2 linked regions of the Neodiprion lecontei genome follow. The protein of the gene in region 1 binds, or shares a complex with, the protein of each later gene. Links are inferred from orthologs where the notes say so. Each region holds a gene or a part of one and is shown on either strand. Other genes may lie near its edges.

What was found. The genes of interacting proteins can lie anywhere in the genome.
Region 2: AT-rich interactive domain-containing protein 2 (region 1) and protein polybromo-1 share a complex: the UniProt entries of both Homo sapiens proteins name them as parts of the SWI/SNF-B (PBAF) chromatin remodeling complex. The link is inferred for Neodiprion lecontei from reciprocal best matches to the Homo sapiens genes ARID2 and PBRM1.

The regions. Positions count from the first base shown.
Region 1 is NC_060265.1:5,611,727-5,622,152, reverse strand, and holds the start of AT-rich interactive domain-containing protein 2, read left to right. Parts: upstream 1-2,118; 5' UTR 2,119-3,509; coding exon 3,510-3,601; intron 3,602-5,369; coding exon 5,370-5,463; intron 5,464-10,426. Other genes in the region: serine--tRNA synthetase-like protein Slimp, read right to left, coding at 1-666; zinc finger protein 593 homolog, read right to left, coding at 751-1,015, 1,115-1,215, 1,368-1,457. UniProt on the Homo sapiens protein: Involved in transcriptional activation and repression of select genes by chromatin remodeling (alteration of DNA-nucleosome topology). Required for the stability of the SWI/SNF chromatin remodeling complex SWI/SNF-B (PBAF).
Region 2 is NC_060265.1:21,310,531-21,321,307, forward strand, and holds the start of protein polybromo-1, read left to right. Parts: upstream 1-5,132; 5' UTR 5,133-5,247; intron 5,248-5,499; 5' UTR 5,500-5,509; coding exon 5,510-5,614; intron 5,615-6,046; coding exon 6,047-6,292; intron 6,293-6,496; coding exon 6,497-6,625; intron 6,626-6,693; coding exon 6,694-6,873; intron 6,874-7,079; coding exon 7,080-7,524; intron 7,525-7,701; coding exon 7,702-7,814; intron 7,815-7,962; coding exon 7,963-8,061; intron 8,062-8,128; coding exon 8,129-8,191; intron 8,192-8,369; coding exon 8,370-8,522; intron 8,523-8,592; coding exon 8,593-8,760; intron 8,761-9,471; coding exon 9,472-9,638; intron 9,639-9,770; coding exon 9,771-10,065; intron 10,066-10,147; coding exon 10,148-10,353; intron 10,354-10,499; coding exon 10,500-10,777. Other genes in the region: uncharacterized protein LOC124295063, read left to right, coding at 1,967-3,763. UniProt on the Homo sapiens protein: Involved in transcriptional activation and repression of select genes by chromatin remodeling (alteration of DNA-nucleosome topology). Required for the stability of the SWI/SNF chromatin remodeling complex SWI/SNF-B (PBAF).

The DNA of each region.
Region 1 (10,426 bases):
GGCCAGTTCAAAGAGGGCTGCCTCGTTGTGCAGATAGTAATTCATAGGGCTTGAATACTCCAGCAATCCCAACCTCCTGCCAATATCAATGTGGCTACTCGAGCAACTTGAATTCTCACCGGGATTAAGGTTTCCGTAAGAATACAAAATAACCGGATCAAAAGCTGGCGTGTCTTTGTGCAGAACGTTGGGTAGTTTCAGAATTTTTGGAATCACGGAATCCTCAAGCTCCCACAGGATTTCCCTGACTACTTTCAAATCCTCCCTTAATACTTTGCCCACTGTTTTCAGTCGGGTAATTTCTTCATTGTCTACAGATTCGGCATTACTTGTGTTTAGACCTTTTATCTGACTAGCTGTGTCAATTCTCTTCTGCTCCAATGCATCCCGATTTGAAATGACACTTTTGTATAAATCCCATGAATTTTTCACACTTTCAGCATCGACATCAAGAGCGCGCAATTTCAACTCGTTTTTCAACTTATCCATGTCTGAAAATCGCTCGTCAAAGTCGAGATAGGGGGACAGAATCGCAAACGATTCGCTAGCCCTTTTGCCAGATACAAAGAGTGCCGAAACATAAGTGCGCACGTTAAGATTCAGTGACAAGCGTCCCAGAAAGAAGACATGTTTCATGCTCAACAGTCTTATACCAACATTCGCCATGTTGCAGAAAATGTTAAATTATCTGGACCTATATTTAGTGTGAACCTCTTTATTTAATGTCTACCTATGTTCTACGGTTTTCCCTTATGCCAGAGTGTTATCTTCGGTTCTTGTTATTTTTGTAGCTGGCGCCGCATCGACATCGTCATCGTCGACCTCAATTTTGTCCGCATCTTTCCCCGGCTGTGTCTCGATCTTTCGCTTCCTCGGCAGAACGTAATTTCCTTTACCAGCAGCTCTTTCAGAGTCTTCAATTGTGTACGGCTCCAGTTCTAAGGCCTTGAGTCTGCGCTTGTGAACTTTGGTGGTAAAGTGATCGAGGAGTGCCTTGTTGTCGATAAAGTACCTCCTGCAAAAGAGTAGTAATTAATTTCTACAATACTGAAAATCCTTCGGAAGATGAACCAGGATAGGTTAGATGAGGTTATGTCATGTTGAAAATACTAACGCGCAATGTAGGCAGTAGTGCTGAGCCGCACCCGGCTTGTCCAAATCCACTTCCTGGTTCAATAATGCGGGAGCATATTCATCCTTGATGTCCTCGTTGATCTGCAATTCAATCACGCGACATGTGAACCGTTAAATTAAGTGGTAAAAAATCGAAATCCAACCAAGAACGATGATAACAATAACCGGCCACGTGGTGGCGTGAGGCGCGCCGCGTGTATTCAGTTCGCAGAAAAAAAAACATCGAATCTCACCTCGTCAAGATCTTTCGTTCGTCGTTTAGTCCTCCATCCTTTTTTCAGATGTGTATCTCCCTTGTGATATTTTCTACGTTTGTAAGTCATCTTTCCGCTAACGTGTCAATAATTAAATAACGAACACAGAGGTTAACTTTTCTACGAGTGGTAAAATTCGATCGTCTTGTGTTTGATAAATCGTATCCCGTTGATACATGCTCGAGTTCGTCCGCGTTGGTCGACAATTGTTGCGATTATTTCTCCGTGCGATTGTAAAAGGCGCTCACGTTCGAAATGACGAAACAGTGTCGTTCCGTTATATTTTACAGAGAAACTTAACCTCGGGTTCCGGAGCAAGGCGTGGCGGGACGTACGAAAACAAGAACGGAGAAAATGTTCTAGACCGTTCGGTATTTGTGAAGAACGGTAAGAATTACAACGTTAATTAAGTTTTGAATAATAACGGCGTCCCGTAGTGGGATATTATAGAGGATACGATACGCGTATGTTAACGAATATGGGAAAACATAATATTTCTAAATTTTTGTTACTCGTTTTACGTAAAATGTGTGAAAAAGTCAGTCTACTCGAAAATACCGCTCGTAGTTTGTTTCACAATACCCGCAGGCAGGTATCTGGAATAAAGGAGAGTATCGATAGTTGGCGCAGCGTGGACAAGATGGAGACACAGGGCAATGCCGAACGGTACGCCCCTGGCGGTGAGACGATACGAAATTCAAACATCCGCTACTGGTGGAGAGCCTAAGCCTTACCATCCATCCATCCATTTTGAAAGTAAAAATATTCCATGACCGGGGATTTTGGTAAACGTACGTATCGTATAATCACCAAAGTACGCTGGTACCGTGGCTCGAGGGTGTATAAAATGAGTTAAATACAGGTGAGGGTCTCGCCGGCTACGGTTAGCAAGAGTGCGATTGAACCGTCGATCCTGATCTCGTAGGTGAATTCCGCGAGGCGAATCGAATGGATGCCAGTCGTAAGGGACGCCATTTTGATATACGGTCGGGTACGTCAGGCATCGGAGCCAGAAACGCGGTAAAGAAGGGTTCCCGTGCGCGCGTACATTTTCTGGCATCGCGAGGGGAGTTTTTTCGAGGATTACGCAGAGTTCGGTGCCGCGTACGAGGCGGCGGGACGGTGTACATAGTGCGTTAAGTGACAAGTGACAGGTGAATCGATGATTGCAAGTCCCGTAATCGCGGCTTGCTAGTGGCGTACTGCCAGTGGAGTGTCCGGTCTACGCGAACTCGCGTACGGTACTCGATAACGAGGCACCGACTACGAGGAGCGGAGCTCCCTTGGATCGCCAAGCGTTTTCCCGCTAGAGAGATTGGACTTTCTTGGTTAGCAAGCAGCAAGGGGCATCCTTGCTTGCGCCTCGCCTCGCCTCGCCTCGCCTCGTCTCGCCTCGCCTTGCCTCGCCGTACAGTCGCGTGTGTGGCTTGCGTATATCCCGCATCTCCGAACAGTTGCCACTGTGAGAATCCCGCGTGTGTGTTTTTGTTGCCCCGCGACCGGTTCCCGAGGGCTCGGGAGGACCTATCGCCTATCGTTCTTATTGTTCTTCGATCGGATAACGAGGAAAGAGGACAAATATTCGGCGATACTTGGCAATCTCTCTCTCTCTCTCTCTCTCTCTCCTTCGCTACTTCTCTCTCTGTCCCTCTGTGTGTCTGCATTTGCAACGCGGATTCTTCCCATCTCCTTATTCATACGTGTATACGTATACGTATACGCACTCGGACCTAACTTAACACACGACACGCACACATACATACACTCATATATATATATATACACACACATCCCTCCGGCTTTCCCCGGTTCTTTCTCTCTCCATCTCCCTTTTTCTCGCCCCTCGTCATCCTGTGTTCGCGATTTTAAAAAAGACAACGATATTCGGGTTCTTCCCAACGCCCGTAAAACTACAAGTCCGATGTTTGCCGCCGCGGCTCGAAATCATCTCAGGCCGAGACATCTAGCTGCGACGAGAACGTCGACGAGGGTACACCTGGAAGTAAGGAGAGTAATTGCGTCGGGGGTTATTGCAACCCTGGCGTAAATGCCCCCCCGCGGCACATGTGCTCGCGTAAACCTAGCGCGATCCTTAATTAATACGCCCACGCGCTCCTTAACATGGCCAAATTCCTCAACAAGGACCCTGTCACCTATCAGCGGGAGCGTGACGGGTTCATCAAGGGACTTCATCATTTTCACGAGACTCGCGGGTAAGAATCCACTCGTTCATTCATCGTTCGTTTCCCTCTCGCCTAATTCTCCTCCTCGCTCATTTATGTCATTCTTGTTTTTCTTTATTATTTATAGTCTGTAGTTAATTATCTTACGCAGTGCCGCTGATTATCTTCTTTAATTGGGCTTCCACTCACCGTTCAACCGAAATCCGTGAAATTTCATTTTATCAACCTGATCAGGCAAGAAACATCTAATACCGTCAGTAGATTCGGTACACCTATAACTGTACGGAATTTTTTTTATGGAAGCTTTCTGTTTACAATTCACACGTTATATTGTTAGTTTAATTATCACACCGTGCATTTTTGTTCACTGTGTAGATCTTAGCGTCTTCTTTGACACGCAAAAAAAAAAATACGCAACAATTAATATCGCGGTAATCTTTCTTTCCATCACATGACAAAGATTGTCCCTCCAGTTCCTTCAACCTCATTGTTGGTAGTATCCTCCAACACATCCTCGGAGTTTATCAAAAAGAAATTCTTTCAATTCACTTGTAATTAACATTTATGTATGAAAGTACTTTATTCATCACCTCTTATCATTCATCGTCGTAAATCTCAAGTAAAATATCTCATACCATATTCGGTTGCATTTATCCTAACCGCAGTTGTACTATACGGTTATATAAGTAGTACTATGGTTGTTTAAGATAAGTAACGAGGTTGTTCGGTTCCAAATCCCTTCTAACGACGAGGGACTCAATTTACACGAATTGAGCTGTTTCGTTTATATTTTCATTGAATAATTACCGTAATCAGCCAAGTTACCTAGGATTCTGCGTTTCTTAGTTTAATTCTTATTTGCTTACAGTCATAAAATACGACCCATTCATTATCTGATATTCAACATCAGCCGTCCACTCTTCTTGAATCTCCACTCGCAACAAGTGCAGACCACAAATCGATCCTCTTCCCCCAAATGGATCAATTTTTCCTTTCATTACCGTTATTCGTATAATGTATGATCTATCCACACCTTAGGCCTAAGCCTCACACCGAGTGAAGTCTGTTTCTTGAATCGAAAACGTTTGTTGGGTTCTTTCTCATTTTTTTTTTCTAGGAATTACTTTCGCAAATAAAGAAGAACACCGAGGGAAGTGAAAAAGAGCAGACTTGCTGCCTATACCGTCTCACGCGTCTCACTGATGTAATCGTACTCGGGATTTTTTCTGGCAACTTGCTGCTAATTTCGTTGCCGCGTGATCCTTGACATTCGCATTATTATACGTATCGGTAAAGTCCGCGAATCTATCTGGAACAACCCGCGTGTGTGATGTTGCGTTTAATTTTTAGCGAGTAATCGTTCTCTCCATGATTACTAACGTAAGTTTCATTTCTATGCCGTTCCTCGCACAGAGTACAGCAGCACATGTTCAACGTAATGTACGTATCTACGTAGGTGCGTACATACGCATGTAGTTTGTGCCCACTGCCCACATGTATCACAAACATCGTACAATACATGACGCGGTGTCGCGCAAAGTCTCGTCATCATCGTCGGGAGCAGCGAACGCGGTTGGAATACAAATAAGGAGGTTTTTTTTTTCTTTCTCTCCTCTCTTTTCTCTACCCATAAATTGACATAGTTTGTCATGTCGTGCAGGTGAAATCGGCTGCAACGCTATCCGTAAATTTGCACGTTACTTATTCCCGAAGCTCGCAACAGTGGAATCACCTTTCCAAATTCGTTGCTCAAAAAAGATGGCTACAGTTTTCTCACCGATTTTATTATACATTTCAGAACACCCTTCAGGAGGCCACCGAAAATCAGCGGGAACGAGATAGACTTGTACTTGTTATACGTGCTGGTTACCGCCCACGGAGGATGGATCAAGGTCAGTTCAATAACTCTTCAGCCTCTCTAACCACTTTAAACACTTTTCATACGAATAACGAATTTTCGGGTGTAGGCATAAATGCACAGTCGGAAAATTATAGCTCCAACACTGCAGGCTCCTCAAAAATTGAGTAACGGTATGAGAAACACCGTGAGAAAAGTTTTACTACCAATGGGAACTTGTGACGTGAGAACAGCGAAAAATTTGCTGTAGTTAAATTTTAGTTTTCGACGCTTTTGAACTCGCACGTGTGCGCAATTTCCGGTGAAAACGGTCCGTTCGATGTTGGTTGGACAAAATTGCAGGCAGTACGATATAAGCTGTAAGAGAAGAAGCGAGTGCTCGCTTTGACGACCGCGCGAATGATGAAGGGGGCGTCTTAAGACCCTCGAGAATCTTGAACAGAGTACTTTTTCTCTTTCCGCACCTTCCGCGCTTTTTCTTTTCTTCGTATTACCATTTTTTTTTTTCTGCCGTCTTCCTTTTCTCTTCTGCAATCTGCTGCCTGCGAGGAGTCAAACTTTCACGTCAAGCATTAGGTACACGTTTGTTATACGTATATTTACAACCCGCGCTCTCGGGAATACAGAATAATTAATTCATCATTGACGTAGGCGCAGTGTGAAAAGTAAATATCAAATAACAAAAAACGTGTGCATAAATGTTGTGGATCGAAATAAATATCGCGTCAACTACTCTGCGGTATAACGATGACGCTGATAATGAAGTCCGTTCAAGGTTCTCTCTCGGTTTCAAATGTGTGAAATGATAATGAGGAATGTGAGGTTTTCAACTTGCAACAATAATGTGACAAGCGGGGCTTTCGTCGGTCCATTCATTGACCGCGCAGTGGAGATAAAACCTCGTAAAGCGGGAGAAAAGTAAAGTATATAAACAAACGTGCAGACGATGCGCGTCTGAAAACGATGCCGGGGTAATTGCTCCGAATTTAAAACGAACTAACCGACGATAATCCTCAATGCTGTAATAACGAAAACGGCTATAAATTATTGGAAAATTGTTTTTCCAATTATCGTAATTACGAGAAGCAAATGACTGTTACGTTATGTTAGAAGAACGATAAAGAAAAAAGAAAGAGAATAACTTTTCCTTAGGCAAAAATTATTATACGCTCGGAAAAACACTTTCTTCCCGAGTCGAGCATGCGACTCGTACTTCCTGCCAGTTTCAGTTCGTGTAACGAACCACAGCATCAACTACGTCTATATATTATACAATAGAATATGCGCTATGTGGGTACAATAAAATCCTCAACCGAACCAGAATGGACTTTTACAAAAAATCGGATTACGCACAATGTATCGTTTAACGTTTCCACGCGGTATATCGGCATACGCACATTTACTTATTAACTGCTTGCGTGGTGAAAAAAAAAGTCGCAACTACACTTTCCTTTTCTACTTTTTCGTCTTACAGGTACTTCCGGGGTGTATTATGTTTCACATTTTTAATACATCATCAAATCAACAACCCGTTGAAAGAAAAACCACCTCCGTACAATAATATCCGGCGGTCCGTCGTATACTGAACGCATACTTGGAAAAGCATAAAATTCTCGCACATTATCGCATCGCGGTGAGACTTCCCGATACGTATGCATGGTACATACATACATACATACATCACCTTTCGCTCCCCCTCCCCCGCCCTCGAAGTGCACGACGGTTCCTTGAACTTGCCGCGCTGCTTCCGGCGAGGCGCCGAGAGGCGCGAAGAAGAGAGGCGCGGAGAGGAGAGGAGAGGAGAGGAGAGGAGAGGAGAGGAGAGGAGAGGAGAGGAGAGGAGAGGAGAGGAGAGGAGAGGAGAGGAGAGGACCAGGTCCGCGTGGCGAGTTCCGCGAGTGAACTTCGCGCGTCAATCGGAACCTCCGCGCAACCACCGTCGCCTCTGGTGTCCCGATGCGACATGCAGCAGCACTCGGTCGTCGAATGTCGTCCGCCGGCCGGCCGGCAGCCTTCCTGACGTAATACGACACACCGAAGAGTCACCATCGAACTCTCTTCTACTCTGCTCGCTCCCTACCCTCCCCTACCCGCCCCTTATACCCTCGATATTCGGCGCCTGGTCGCGTGGCGAGTTGACACTCGGCGAAAGGTGCCGGCAGGAGGAGGAGGAATAGGAATAGGAATGAGAGTCCACGCGGTGAAACGCGATAAATGGCACAGAACGGAATTAACGGAGAAGCAACGCTCACGGAACTGAGGCGGCAGAGACCCCCCGAGGGTTACTAACCCTGCGACGACGGTGTCGTACACGCGTGCCTCACGTGTCACAAGTATATCTACGTATGGCATTCTTCTTTACCGGCGGGCGTGCAAAGAAGACAGTAGCCTCGTACACACGGATTAGCCCTGTCGTTTTTTTTTCTCTCTTTTTTCCCTTTTTTTTTATCCTGTCGAAGAAACTACCGTACGGGTACCACGATCGACTCTCTTTCTCTCCCTCTCCCTCTCTTTCTTGTTTCTGTCACAGTTCACCGCGTAACGTGCGAACATATTGTATCCGTACGCAATGTACAGACATGCGTTATTGTTACGTCGGAAACGCTGCATGGGAGAAATCCACCGAACCAAATTGAAACCTTCCAGCCGTCGGGGAAAATGCAGATTGTTTATGCAAGTATCGTGAATCAGTAGCAGCGGTCAGCTAACTTTTCTTGTTGCATTGACGGCGTATCACCGACCCTGTACAGAGATAAACCGCCCACACGTGTGTTGTTGATATTCTTGTTGTATCCTGCGCCGTCCCAAGGACACCGTTACAAGAAGCAAACTTCCGTTCCTGCTCGCCTAGCCTGTGCGAAATACACGATAATTTCTTTTTGTTTCTCTACGTTTTTTCCATTTCCGGGATCGCCGATGGCGGCCGGTAGGAGGAGGAGGACAAGGAGAAGGAAGAGGTGGAGGTGGAGGAGCAGACCTACTAAAACATTATTAACGTAAGGATAACGCGGAAGTGGCGCAAGGTCAGGGTCGCGTTGCGCGGACGCGGGGTAGGGGGGCATAGATCAGCGGTGGTGAAGAAGAGGAAGGGATGTAGAGGAGTAGACGGTGGCCGACGGTAGCCGAAGGCTTTAACCGTCAACAAGTGTGCGTCGCGGCGCCTAGTATTCTTCTCTTGGTTATTAACCGAAGAAGGGAAGTCACTTTCCCGGATCTTTTTTTCTTATCGTGCACCACCTCGCTCGATTTTTCTTCAATTCTTTTTTTTTTCTCCTTTTTTTTACTCTTCATCTCGCCCTAAACGTGTTCCGTCGCAGCAAGGGGAATAATAATCTCGTCTAAACTCGTCGTGCAAAATTCGCCCTCTCTTATTCGTCTCCCCGCAAATACCTGATGCGAATTTTACGACTTCTTTCTGTCCGGTATATGGTACCCGAATATAACGTGTATTATTATTCCGTGTTATGGAAGTTGGTCCCCTCGCAACGATCGACGGACCGGGTCGTTCATTCTTTTTGTTCATCTTCTTGCCACTCAACCGCATATTACACCCATCTTTTTCTTCATCGCCGTAACGCCGGAATACCCTTGGAATATCATTAGTCTACCTTTTCGTTGAGAGTAATAACAATCATAATCATGGTGCAGAATTATAAATCTAAAAGCGAGAAACTCTGTTATTATTCCGGAAATAAAGTGTACGGAGTAAGATATATAGAACATGGATAGATCGCGTTTATTCGTGTATATTATGTTGCACAATAAATTCACAGGGGTTAAACGGCAGTGGCAAATGAAGACGAATGAAAATAAAAAACTAATACTAGTAGTAGTAGTAGTAGTAGTAATGATGATAATAATAATAATAATAATAATAATAATAATAATAATAATAATTTCTTAAAAAGAGAAAGAGGGAAGTGCAAAGCCAAAGTCTGTGGGTACGCACAGGCATGCGGGTTCGACTCGTATCCCTAGACACGCGGTTTGTCGGTCGTTAAAGCGGGGATCGGAGGTATACAACACCGAGCAAACGAAGGAAAGATCGAACGGGTAGCGAGGAGGCGACGTTTCGTGGCGGGGGTCGCCTCGCCGGCAGACGCAAGCAGCGGTCGATACGGCAACGCCGCGCCCCGGCGTCGCATACCGGACGAAGAGGCGGGCGACGCGCAGCGCTCGACTCCTCGAGCAAGCCGTCGGTGAAGTGAGCCGAGGCCGCGCGGACGCGCCGGAAGATTTCGACCCGGCAACACCGCCGACGGCGGCGCGGTTTCTCGGGGAGCGAAGAGAAGCCGACCCGACGGTAGCGAGCCGCCTGCTTGCCCGACTCCGCCAGCTCTTTGCCTCCAGACTCGAAGAGCAACGCGCGCGGCGGTCGGTTCGTCCGACCATAATCCCCGACGCTACTCTCTTCTCTTCTCTTCTCGTCTCTTTTCTTCTCTTGTTGGATATCTCTCTTCTTGGTTTGGAGGAGAAGATGCAGCAGCGGCGACGTCGCCTCTTTCTTCTCTACCTCACAAACTTACCGACTCTAGAGAAGGAGAAGAAGGAGAAGAAGCCTCTGGTGGCTCTGCGCACATATTTTCAGAGATGCCTTCCTTTATATACGTTCGAAATAATATTTGAGTTCGTACGGAAAGCGAAACAACGACGAACGATTATTTTCTCTCGTATGTGAAGCGAGCAGTTTGTCAGAGAGAGAGAGAGAGAGAGAGAGAGACGCGCTGCACGACGATCTCAGAAAGAGAGTAACACACCATACTCGGTGATCCTGCGGCCCCCTCCACACCGATCCCAACGGTACACGGATGTTTTCGTACGTCGGTACGAAAGATCGTCAATATTCCGAGGCATCTAACTCCGGAGTCTTACTCGCGCCGTTCGCGTTTGCTTTATGTTTTCAGCCGTCTCGACGTTAAGCAGCGTCGGTTTTAAGTAACGCGATACGTAAGTTCGTTAGAGGCTCGCTCTCTTACCGCGGGGAGAAACGGGAGAAG
Region 2 (10,777 bases), about 16 Mb from region 1:
AAAGTATTTGATCACTTTCACCTTTCACGTATCTGACTAACGCCAACTAACGCTCGTGGTAGAACAGTTGCTTACACAGCATGTAATAAGATATTAAAAAACGTTGCAAGTGGTGCCGTAATTTTTGATTCGTACATTCACGGTTAATGTGTTTGTTTCACAGTAAATTTTACTGGTAATTCAGCTTAGATCAGTCGTATCCACATTTCCGCGATCCTTCTTCTCTTTGTGGCTATGCATCCAGCATGTGGCCACAATTCCGTGGTTTTTATTCGTCATATGGCATTTTCAGTCGTCAGTCTGCGTAATGAATTTATTCCTGGGAATAATCTGCAGGAAACAGCAAATGAGTAAGAGATAGAGACAGAGAGAGAGAGAGAGCGAGAGAGAGAGAGACTGGGTAATGCGTAAGACTGACAATGAGAAGGAAGCAACGATTAGTTCCGGCTAGTGTCAGCTGGAAGGGGAAAAAGTAAGTTGATAGAACTGTGACATGACGTCCCAACGCCGTTCTGCGTAGGTTTCCATGATTCTATCTGGAGTCTGAATGGGGAAAACCCAAATGAGTGTAGAGCGTACGGCGCATATTGATTGCTCAAACGTATTTTGGGAAAGATAGGAACTCAGTAGATTAATCGGTTTTCAATGTTACTTCAAACTTTATTGGGCCCGATTAATTTCATGGAATAATATTTGGGTACTGAAAAGCGGTAGAAAAAACTGAGTGTAGATCTTAATCGGTTTGAGTAATTTCTTTTAACCTGCAGAAGTGTTTCTTGGTGAGATCTAGATTGTAAATATTGATGGGCTCTATAACAAACTGTTGACTGAATATACTCTTCAGTCAACGAACGAACAATGCTACATATTGCACACAGCATTATCATTCCATTCACTGACGTCATACACGCGGGGACAATTAGTTTAAAAATCAGACTGGTCAGTAGTATGTAAGACCGTGGTAGCAACCTACCACCAGTAACTGTTATAGCGACTGTTGCTTATCATATATTCGGAATACTGATATCTTACTTTTTTTTTTAATATTCACTGATATCAGAGTGTCAAATAATGATTTCAAACGAATGGCACACGGGAAATGTGGTGAAATGATCTTCGGTAAGAATATTCGACCAATCCCTTCACGGATCCCTTCACAGCTCCATTTTCTCAATAATTCCTACCTCCTAGCCAATAGCCGAAGCCATTTCATCGACGCGCTGAAGCAGTCGTTTCGTAATTGGCTGGTACCAAATTAGAGTGCACGGTGCAGTTTCATTCGCGATGGAGAATGATTAGTTGTAAAAGGCACTGGGTTGATATTTAACGAATAAATAATAAAACGTTAGATCAACGATTCAAACTTAAATCATTACAAGTTTATCTGAGAATTTATTTGCTGTTTACGGAACGAAGATTTTAATGCGCACGCGCTCTCTACGGTGAATTCCACCATACACAACCCAAGTCTTCTGGACAACACGTAATTGTAAATTTTTTGTTGGATTCGATTTGTACCAGAGAACAAAATTAATTCGCGTAGTACTGGACGTTTCATGAAAAGACTGAATACATTATTTGTACATATTAATTTTGCTAACTAAATTTGATTACAGCCATTTAATGAAATAACTAACCATAGGTGCTTGACAGATTACCCAAGAAGTAAAAAAAAGCATTTTTACGAACAACAATGGAATGTTATTATATTACATTTCATTTAGATTTGTAACTACGTTTAAGGTTAGCAACATTTCAAACTTTCCAGTGCGTATCTAATCCTACCTACATGTGACTCCATAATGTTGCAAGCTACAGAATGCTTCAAATGAATTTTATATTAATGTACTCTTGCAAAGGATAGAATTATATTATTACATTCAACTGAAAACTCCAAAGTTCTTTTAGAATATGTATGCTTTATTTTTGCAGAATCCTCACCTCTTCTAGAAAGTAAAGTGTTAGAATGGCTCAAAGATCACCAATTAAGAATCCGCCGAGTACTAAGGCACTGCAATTTCATCAAGTAGAAAAACAGGAAAGCCAGCACTCTGAATCACCGTCACCCAATCAAAGGGTACTCATTTTGTCAACCCCTGTCACGCTGAAAGATGGTACTGTGAATATGAAGCAACGAACGATACCGCTTAGAGTTGATAACAGTCAGCTTATGATAAAGGCTGGAGAAAACAAAAGCAGAGTTGTTTCATTGAAGCGAAATCACGAAGCAGTGCCGCTGGCTTTGCCAATAAATCAGCTGAACCAAAAAACACCAACTTTTGTAAAGAACGAAGTTGGTCAAGTGATGGGCAAGCTTATTCCGCTTGGAAAATTTTCTAACATTAGTCCAAATACATTGAGTCCTGCCAATCCTACTCCTGCTTCTGCTTCTACTTCACCGATTGTTTCAGATATTGGTGTTAAAAATTTAAGAAATGAAATGTCCAAGCAAAATACGAAGTCAAAGGGGTACAAATTGGTTAAACTAGATGAAAAGGTAATTGGAGCAAACGCTGCTGCAGCTGAGAAATTTGAGGAAATTTTGAAATCAAAACAAAAAACAAATACTAGCTCTACATGTCAGGTGGCTACTAAACATACTGCGACAGCTTCACCAACGGTAGTTACACGAGTGAAAAATGCTGAAGATCAATTGATAACCATAACAGATGATAAGCCAAAGAAACAAGTCCACTTGGTCCTGAAAGGATATGAAAATATTGCCAGTATTGGTCAAACTGGAACCAATATTAAACTAATTCCGTTAGAACAATGGGGAATGGATACAAAGCTGAATTTTTTGAAAACTCAGTCAAGAAGCTCATTTATTTCGCAGCCAAAAATAGTGGATGTGAGAAGTTGTGCTATAGATGAAATAGACGGACTAGGTGACTCACATTTTGATGACAGTAAGTTGAATCATCACTATGACAAAGGGGACTTTGATAGCGATGACGTATTGGAAAAAGATCCGTTGGACATTGAAGGTTTGAGCAAAGAGACCAGTTCATTTCATTATTTGTTAGATAAAAATGCGGAAGAAGATGATAATGACTTGCCGAATGCACTGGAAACGAAAAAACTTAACACAATAGATGTAATTGATTTCGAATGTAACACCTCGGCAATGGGGGGTTTGAGTGATGTCCAAATTACTACTTTGGTGAAAAATAAAAATACGAGCAGCTTCAAATTAGATAATCAACTAAATCCCGAAAGTAATTATTGTCCAAAGAAAAGCAGTGATCTTTTGGAAGATTCAACCAATTGTTCAGCATCGAGTAATATAATAGCTGTGAAGGGCACAAAGGAACATAATCCTGTTATTGATGGTTTGACTGAAAAGAGTAGTAAAGACGACATACGATTTGAACAAAAGTATGCCGATTATGAAAATCTGTGTAAACAATTTCGAATTAATCAACATAACGTTACGTCCAGAGAAACAGAAATGTTGTCCTATATCCACAACCTAAAGAAAAAGCTTTTTCGATTTCAGAAGAATAGATATCAAACATTGGCCGCTATCGAGCAAAGAGAATATCTTGGTATCAGTAATCTATCGACTATTCAAAAGCGATTTATAGAAACACAATTGAGGAATTCTAACAAGACGTCTAAAAAACCAAGGTTTACTAAAACAGATATAGTTATGGCTAGGGATATACTTAAGGCAACTGGTCCGAGGGGTTACAATAATTTGAGAAAACTTTTCTCCCTTCCTGGCATAAGCATTATTGTTAAAGGAATTTCTAAAACTTAAAGACAAGTTGAGTTTGCGAAATTATTTGGGATACAATGAGAGCTAAACCCCAGAAATGTTGGTAAAAAAAGCCTGATTGTAAACAGTAAAAGATTTTATCCAGAGGGATAATCCGAGATCAAGATGTTTTAGAGACTGAATTACCACTGAAGAGTAACTAATGTAATTCTAATTTCAAAATTACACTATATTTTAATTATTTAATTACGTTCTGTGACCTCAAAGTGTTCAAAACTGTGACAGTTATGAAATTACACAGTCTAATTATTCTATAATCACTTGATTTAAAACTGCAACTGAAAAGTCTTTTACGGTTTGAACGTTGGACTTTGTAATATTATCAATTCCATAATTATGGCATTGTACTTTTTAATTTTATTCAACACGTTTGTTAGCTAAATATGAACCAATTAGAAGGCCATGAGTATTTTTTACGTGCAATAATTGACCGTTAAATTAGTTTAGTTGTATGTATATGACATGCATGAAAATTGTATAAATGTAACTATGCAAGGAGTATAATTTGCGTTTAGAGAAATTGTTATGTATACTCATAATAATGAATAAAATCCGTATCATATCGATATTCTCGAGTATCACCTATACATGAGTGTAGTCTTAACTCAGTTGCAATTGAAAAGTTGAAGAGCTCAAATAAATGCACAAATTACACTCTGGAATTTTTTCTGAGTGACTGAATATTTTTTCAATCACCATCCTTCATCATGACACTTAATACAGCTGTAAATTGAAACAGACACCTATTTGTAAAAACATTAATCTACAACTTGAAATTAATGTATCCACAAATTTTTAGAATCTCAGCTAATGGTATTGAATTATACAAATAAAAGTTGAAATTTTAATGGTACGTACATACATCTCATTGAATTTACTTGGCATCAACTTATTTTGATACTCAATTGAAAATGAATAAACAATCAATCTTTTAGTGGAATTCAGGAATTTATAATTTCAGAACTGAAAGCTGTCATCATATGTAATTCAACTGCATGTTGGCGCGAAACTTTACACTTGTTATTTTTGTCCAATTTTCAACACTAGTTAGTTAACGAAGCACTGGCCCACATCACTGGCTAGACTCTACAGAAACCCAGAATCAGAACCACGGACGTGGAAATAGTGAAATGATGTAGTTATTAGCTTGGTTATTCAATGATACCAGTAACTTGTTATTCAATTTTTTTAATCTACGAATTCCCGTTACGGTGGTTCTATTCAGTTTCATACAGTCTGGCCGCAACTTTCGTGATGTAGCACACAACGTAATATGGCCGCTACCTCGGTTTTACTACTGAAATGTATTATAAATATTTCAGTGGGTTTCCTCTCACGTCTCTAGCAGCTCGACAAATCTATCCCGTGGATGTGAGCTTGGATAGGAAATCTTGATTCTGATCAGGAAGTAGATATTGCGGCAGGCATGGTGGTCACCTCTCTATTTGTATACCTTGTAAACTCAGGCAAGTAACGTTACTTAAAGTTGCATTAGATTTACTTCCACATGCAATTAAGTTATAAATCAATACTTCAGGATCCGGTAAGTGTAGAGCGATAAATTCAGCTTGATTTTGTTATTTTTTTAATCCATTAATTCGACTAGCTTTGGATCACATTCCTGCATCTAATGTAAGATGCATAGTGTACATGGTCTACTGTATTTAACATGGCGTCATGCGGCGTAAAAATAAACAATATTTCTTTACGATTTTCAGGCTCACAACGATGAATAAACGCCGTCGAACTTCGTCCGTTGCAAGTCGTGGTACTGAGGATGATCCCGACGACGTACAACCGGAACCAACGAAACGACGACGAAAATTAGATCCGGTAACATTGCCCTGTCATTTTCTGATATTACGGACGCAATCTATAAACAATAACTTATTGATTCAATTCATACTAATATAATAGAATGGGAAAAAAATTACAATGGTCGGCAGATTGTTGTAGATATGGCTCTGAAGATATACTTAAAATAATTTCAAATTCGGAGACCTTGTAAATGCAAGTTGATCCATCTGCGAAAGACAAATGAAATGACAGAAATATCTTTGTGAAACTTTCACACAGACATACTTGCAACTTGGTAGAAATATTGCTTCCCTTTATAGTAATTATATCATCGAATTTAGCTGTATTCATTCAACACTTTCCATTAATATCTTGCTTCTTGTAAAGTTGGATTCCAGTTTGAATATGCGATGCCGTTGTATTATAGGTTGGATTAGCCAAATTTCAATTAGAGATTTATCATTGCAGAGTGATCTTTGCCAGCAGCTCTATGATGTTCTTCGTAATCAAAAAAGAGAAGATGGAACACTGTTGTGTGATGCTTTTATTCGCGTACCAAAACGCAGACAGGAACCTGGTTATTACGAAGTTGTTACAAATCCAATTGATTTGTTGAAAGTTCAGCAAAAGCTCAAAACCGATGAATATCGAGATATGGATGATTTGGCAGCTGACATTCAACTTATGGTTAATAACGCTAAAGCTTTTTACATGGTATGTATTTTTTCCAAATCAACAACTCGTAATTGAATTTGATGGTTAAAAGCAATGAATTAGAACAAAGATTGATTTATTACCTAGAGCTAAGCAATCGATTTACATTTTGATTGCCCGTAAGGTAAAACTGCTCATAGTTACAGTTTATCCTGTTTATTGATATACATATAATAATGCGGTAACTTTTGACATTTTGTCTAGCGGACTTCTCCAGAGTACAAAGATGCAACGGAATTGTGGGAATTATGTCTGAATACTAAAAATCGGATAATGGAAGAATATGAGGATTCTGAACCAAAGGGGAAAATAATTCTTAAGGTTGGCAGACTGGTAAGATAATGCAAAAAACACGTGAGTTATATATACAAGAAGCTTAATATTAATATGTCCTTTATCAGGCACGGAAAGTAACAACTCGTCAGGATGACGCTGAGGACACTTCTGAAAGCTCTACCAACCCTGATGAAGAGTCTATGCAACCATACGAGGATTTGTTTGCTGCGGTCATGGCTGCAACAAATCCACAAGACAATAACAGACCACTACATATTCCATTTCAATTGAAACCTTCCAAGAAAGTTTGTATTTTCACTGAACAATCCAATTTTGTTGTTACAAATTTTATGTCTATTTGAATTTTTCATTTTCTTGTATAGTCAACGAATGTGGTTGCAATATGAGAATTGTGATGTTCCATTACGCGCCAGGAAAATTGCAATAGAAATACACATTTTACTGCTTCACAAATTACCTGAAATTGAATAGTGTGAAATTTAATTTGCAGCTGTACCCTGAGTATTATGAGATAATTGAGAATCCAGTGGATTTGAAGACAATCGCACGCCGGATTCAAGAAGGAGCGTATGCTGGACTGATTGAAATGGAAAGAGATCTCATGCTCATGTGTCGCAATGCTTGTCAGTTTAATGAACCAGGTTCTCAAATATACAAGGATGCTAAAATGTTGAAAAAGATAATCGTTTCTGCAGCTAAAAAACAGGAATCTAGCGCTACTGGTATGGTACCGAAGCTCACTTCTACTGCAACTTCTACTAGAAGTAAAAGAGGAAGAAGTGCTGGCCAGTCCCTTGTAGCAGTGACTGCTGCACTTGCAGATGAAGATGAAGATGAAAGTGATGACGAAGAGGAGGAAGCTAATGACGGAGAAGAGTCTGACAATCCACAGTGGCAGTTATTTCAGACCATAAAAACTGCCCCAAACAGTCAAGGTGTGTTTCGTTTTGTTTCAATAAAGGTAGAATATCTTCAACAATTAACCTCGAGTTGTGAATATAGGTTTCTTGATTGAAAATCTTTTGCTAGTAAATTAACTTATTTATGTATGTGATATTCATTTATATGAGTGAAAGTGGTGAATTAGACAATATTTTATTTTGGATCTACAGGCGTCCGGATGAGTGAATACTATTGGAAATTACCATCTAAACGATTATATCCTGATTATTACAAAGCAATAAAAAATCCAATATCACTATATCAAATACGGACTAAAATAAAGGTGAGATACAAAAACCCATGTAAAAGGAACATTTCTTACAATTCCAATGCATGTATCGACTGACGATTTGATATGCAAAAACATCAATAAATGAGCTGACACATATTAGTTTGTTCAACTTACATACATATATGGATTTCTTTCATAGAAGGGGGAATATGGCACTGTCAGTGAGGTTGCAGGTGATATGAATATCATGTTTGAAAATGCTAAAAAGTATAACGTCCATACGTCTCGTTTGTATAAGGTAAATTTGCATTGCAGAAATCTATTTGATTGAAATAAGCAGGAAATAAAATTATATGTTTTCATAGTGTGCCGCCAAGTTACAGAAAATTATGCAAGAGAAGGTACAGGAACTTCTTGAATTTGATCAGGTAAAAATTAACTTTTTTTCTTGTGATTAAACCATATTTTTTAAATCAGTCGTAAGTTGATAGTTGGCCAAATTGAAAAAGATGATTTAATCTGTTTTCAAATTTATATTTTTTAATTTCTATCTCATCTATGAAATAGATCTAGTTAACCTGATATAATTTAAACCAATTCTTCTAGGATTCAGAATCAGACAGTGATTCAGAGAATAACTTGCAGCAACCCAAACTGATTAAGCGTGCATCAAATGTTTTGACTCGGGGAAAATATAAGGACAATGTGCCATTAAAAAAGAGACTGCATGTTCTTGTAAAGTGTGTGATGGAATACGTTGTAAGTAATTCCAATTTCTCGTGTTCATATTTCTGACAATTAATGTAATACATGATTGGTGAAATTTCAGTGTGAAGATGGTAGGCAGCCTATGCTTATGTTTATGGAAAAACCATCAAAAAAATTATATCCAGATTATTATCAAATTATTCAGGAGCCCATTGATATGTTGGGTATTGAAGCAAATATCAAGGCTGAAAAGTATCAGAATGAAAACGAATTAATTGCGGATTTCAAGGTGAGCAATACGCTATTTACACGTTGTATTAGCAGTTACTTTCGTTTCACGTAAATATTCAAAGTAAAATTTTTAATGAGTAAGAATTTCTTCTCTGCATGCACGATGTAAGGAGACTGTAGTGTGTAGATGTTATGTTTACCCTTTTTTTGAATCCTTTGCTTCCGATGAGAAGCCCGTAAGACGGCAATGCCGTCTAATAAATGAGATGCGGTCTAGCATCGCTAGATACCAGGTTCGATTCCTGGCTCCGTCGTTAATTTTTCAAATTCACCAGTTGTTCAAATTTACATATTTTCAACAAAATTCTCTCGTAGATTAATGATTTGCACACCCGCATCTCATTTGTTAGACGGCATTGCCGTCTTACGGGCTTCTCATCGGAAGCAAAGGATTCAAAAAAAGGGTAAACATAACATCTACACACTACAGTCTCCTTACATCGTGCATGCAGAGAAGAAATTCTTACTCATACAAATCGGGCACATGAAAACAAATTTGAACTCACTGGTTATGAGAGAAATTAATGACAACAGAGTCAGGGCGGCTAGGTGGTCTAGTGGAGTAAGTCTCCGGTAAAGCATCGCTAGATACCAGGTTCGATTCCTGGCTCCGTCGTTAATTTTTCAAATTCACCAGTTCAAATTTACATATTTTCAATAAAATTTTTAATACTTACAACATGCGAGAGCTCATTAACGATATTTATAGTTGATGTTTAATAATTGCCGCCAATATAATGAAGAAGGGTCTCTTATATATGAAGATGCAAATGTATTGGAAAAGGTTTTGATGGATAAAGTAAAAGAGCTGGGACCCTTACCAGAATTGGTTAAACCAGTGAAATCTGCAGCATCTACACCGACAAGGAATGTAGGGTGAGTAGCTTTGGAAATTTTGTACTATAACAGGTCACACCAATGAATTTACTACTTATTATCATACCTAATGATTTTATTGTATGGTGGAATCCTTTTCCAAAGTTGAAAATATTTCTTGGGTTTTTATAGAAGGCCAAAGAAAGTTGTACCGTTGCATGTGCAAAAATTACGAACAATGTACGATACAATAAAAGACTATCACGATGCTAAGGGCAGACAGTTGTCCCAAATATTCATGAAACTTCCAAATAAAAATGAGTATCCTGATTACTATGAAGTTATCAAACAACCAATGAACATGGAAAAGATTGCCTCATCTTTAAAAAATAATGGATATGATAATCTGGATGACTTAGTATCAGATTTCATTCTCATGTTTGACAATGCTTGCAAGTATAATGAACCGGACTCTCAGATTTACAAGGTTTGAGCATTTTGTATCTGTTATTATATTCTTATTTTTCATATTCAATTTTCCTTTGTTAACTAAATCACTTATGGTACAGGATGCACTGATTCTACAGCGATTAGTGCTCCAAACTAAAGTACAGCTGAGTGAAGATGATGAAAGTGTTCCTGATGTAGCAGCTGCTGTCCAAGAAATATTAGCCACTATATTCACAGCATTATATAACCACCAGGATGAAGAAGGCCGATGCTATTCGGATTCAATGGCTGAACTCCCTGAGCATGATATGGTTGACGGAAAGAAGTATTGAAAACTTTAATAAACAGTTCTTCCTTTAACAGTTTTTTTTTCATTAAAGTATTCAACCTACGTAGAAGTAGATTAGGAAGATAGCTGAATTGTTGTCTTAATGCTGCAGTATTTGGAATTGATAACGTACTTCTTAACAGGGTGAGAGGGCTATCTTTGGATTTGATAAAGCGTCGGTTGGATAGAGGAGTTTACAAACGATTGGATAGATTTCAAGAAGATGTCTTTTCGTGTTTGGAGAGAGCGCGGAGACTATCCCGTAGCGATTCTCAGCCTTTCGAGGATAGTGTAGAGCTCCAAGCATTTTTCCTGCGAACACGGGATGACGTTACTCGCAGCGGAGATCTCTTGCACTCACCAGCTCTTAACTATACGCTTTTAGATCTCTCTGCTCAAGTTGCTGACTTAAAACGTACCA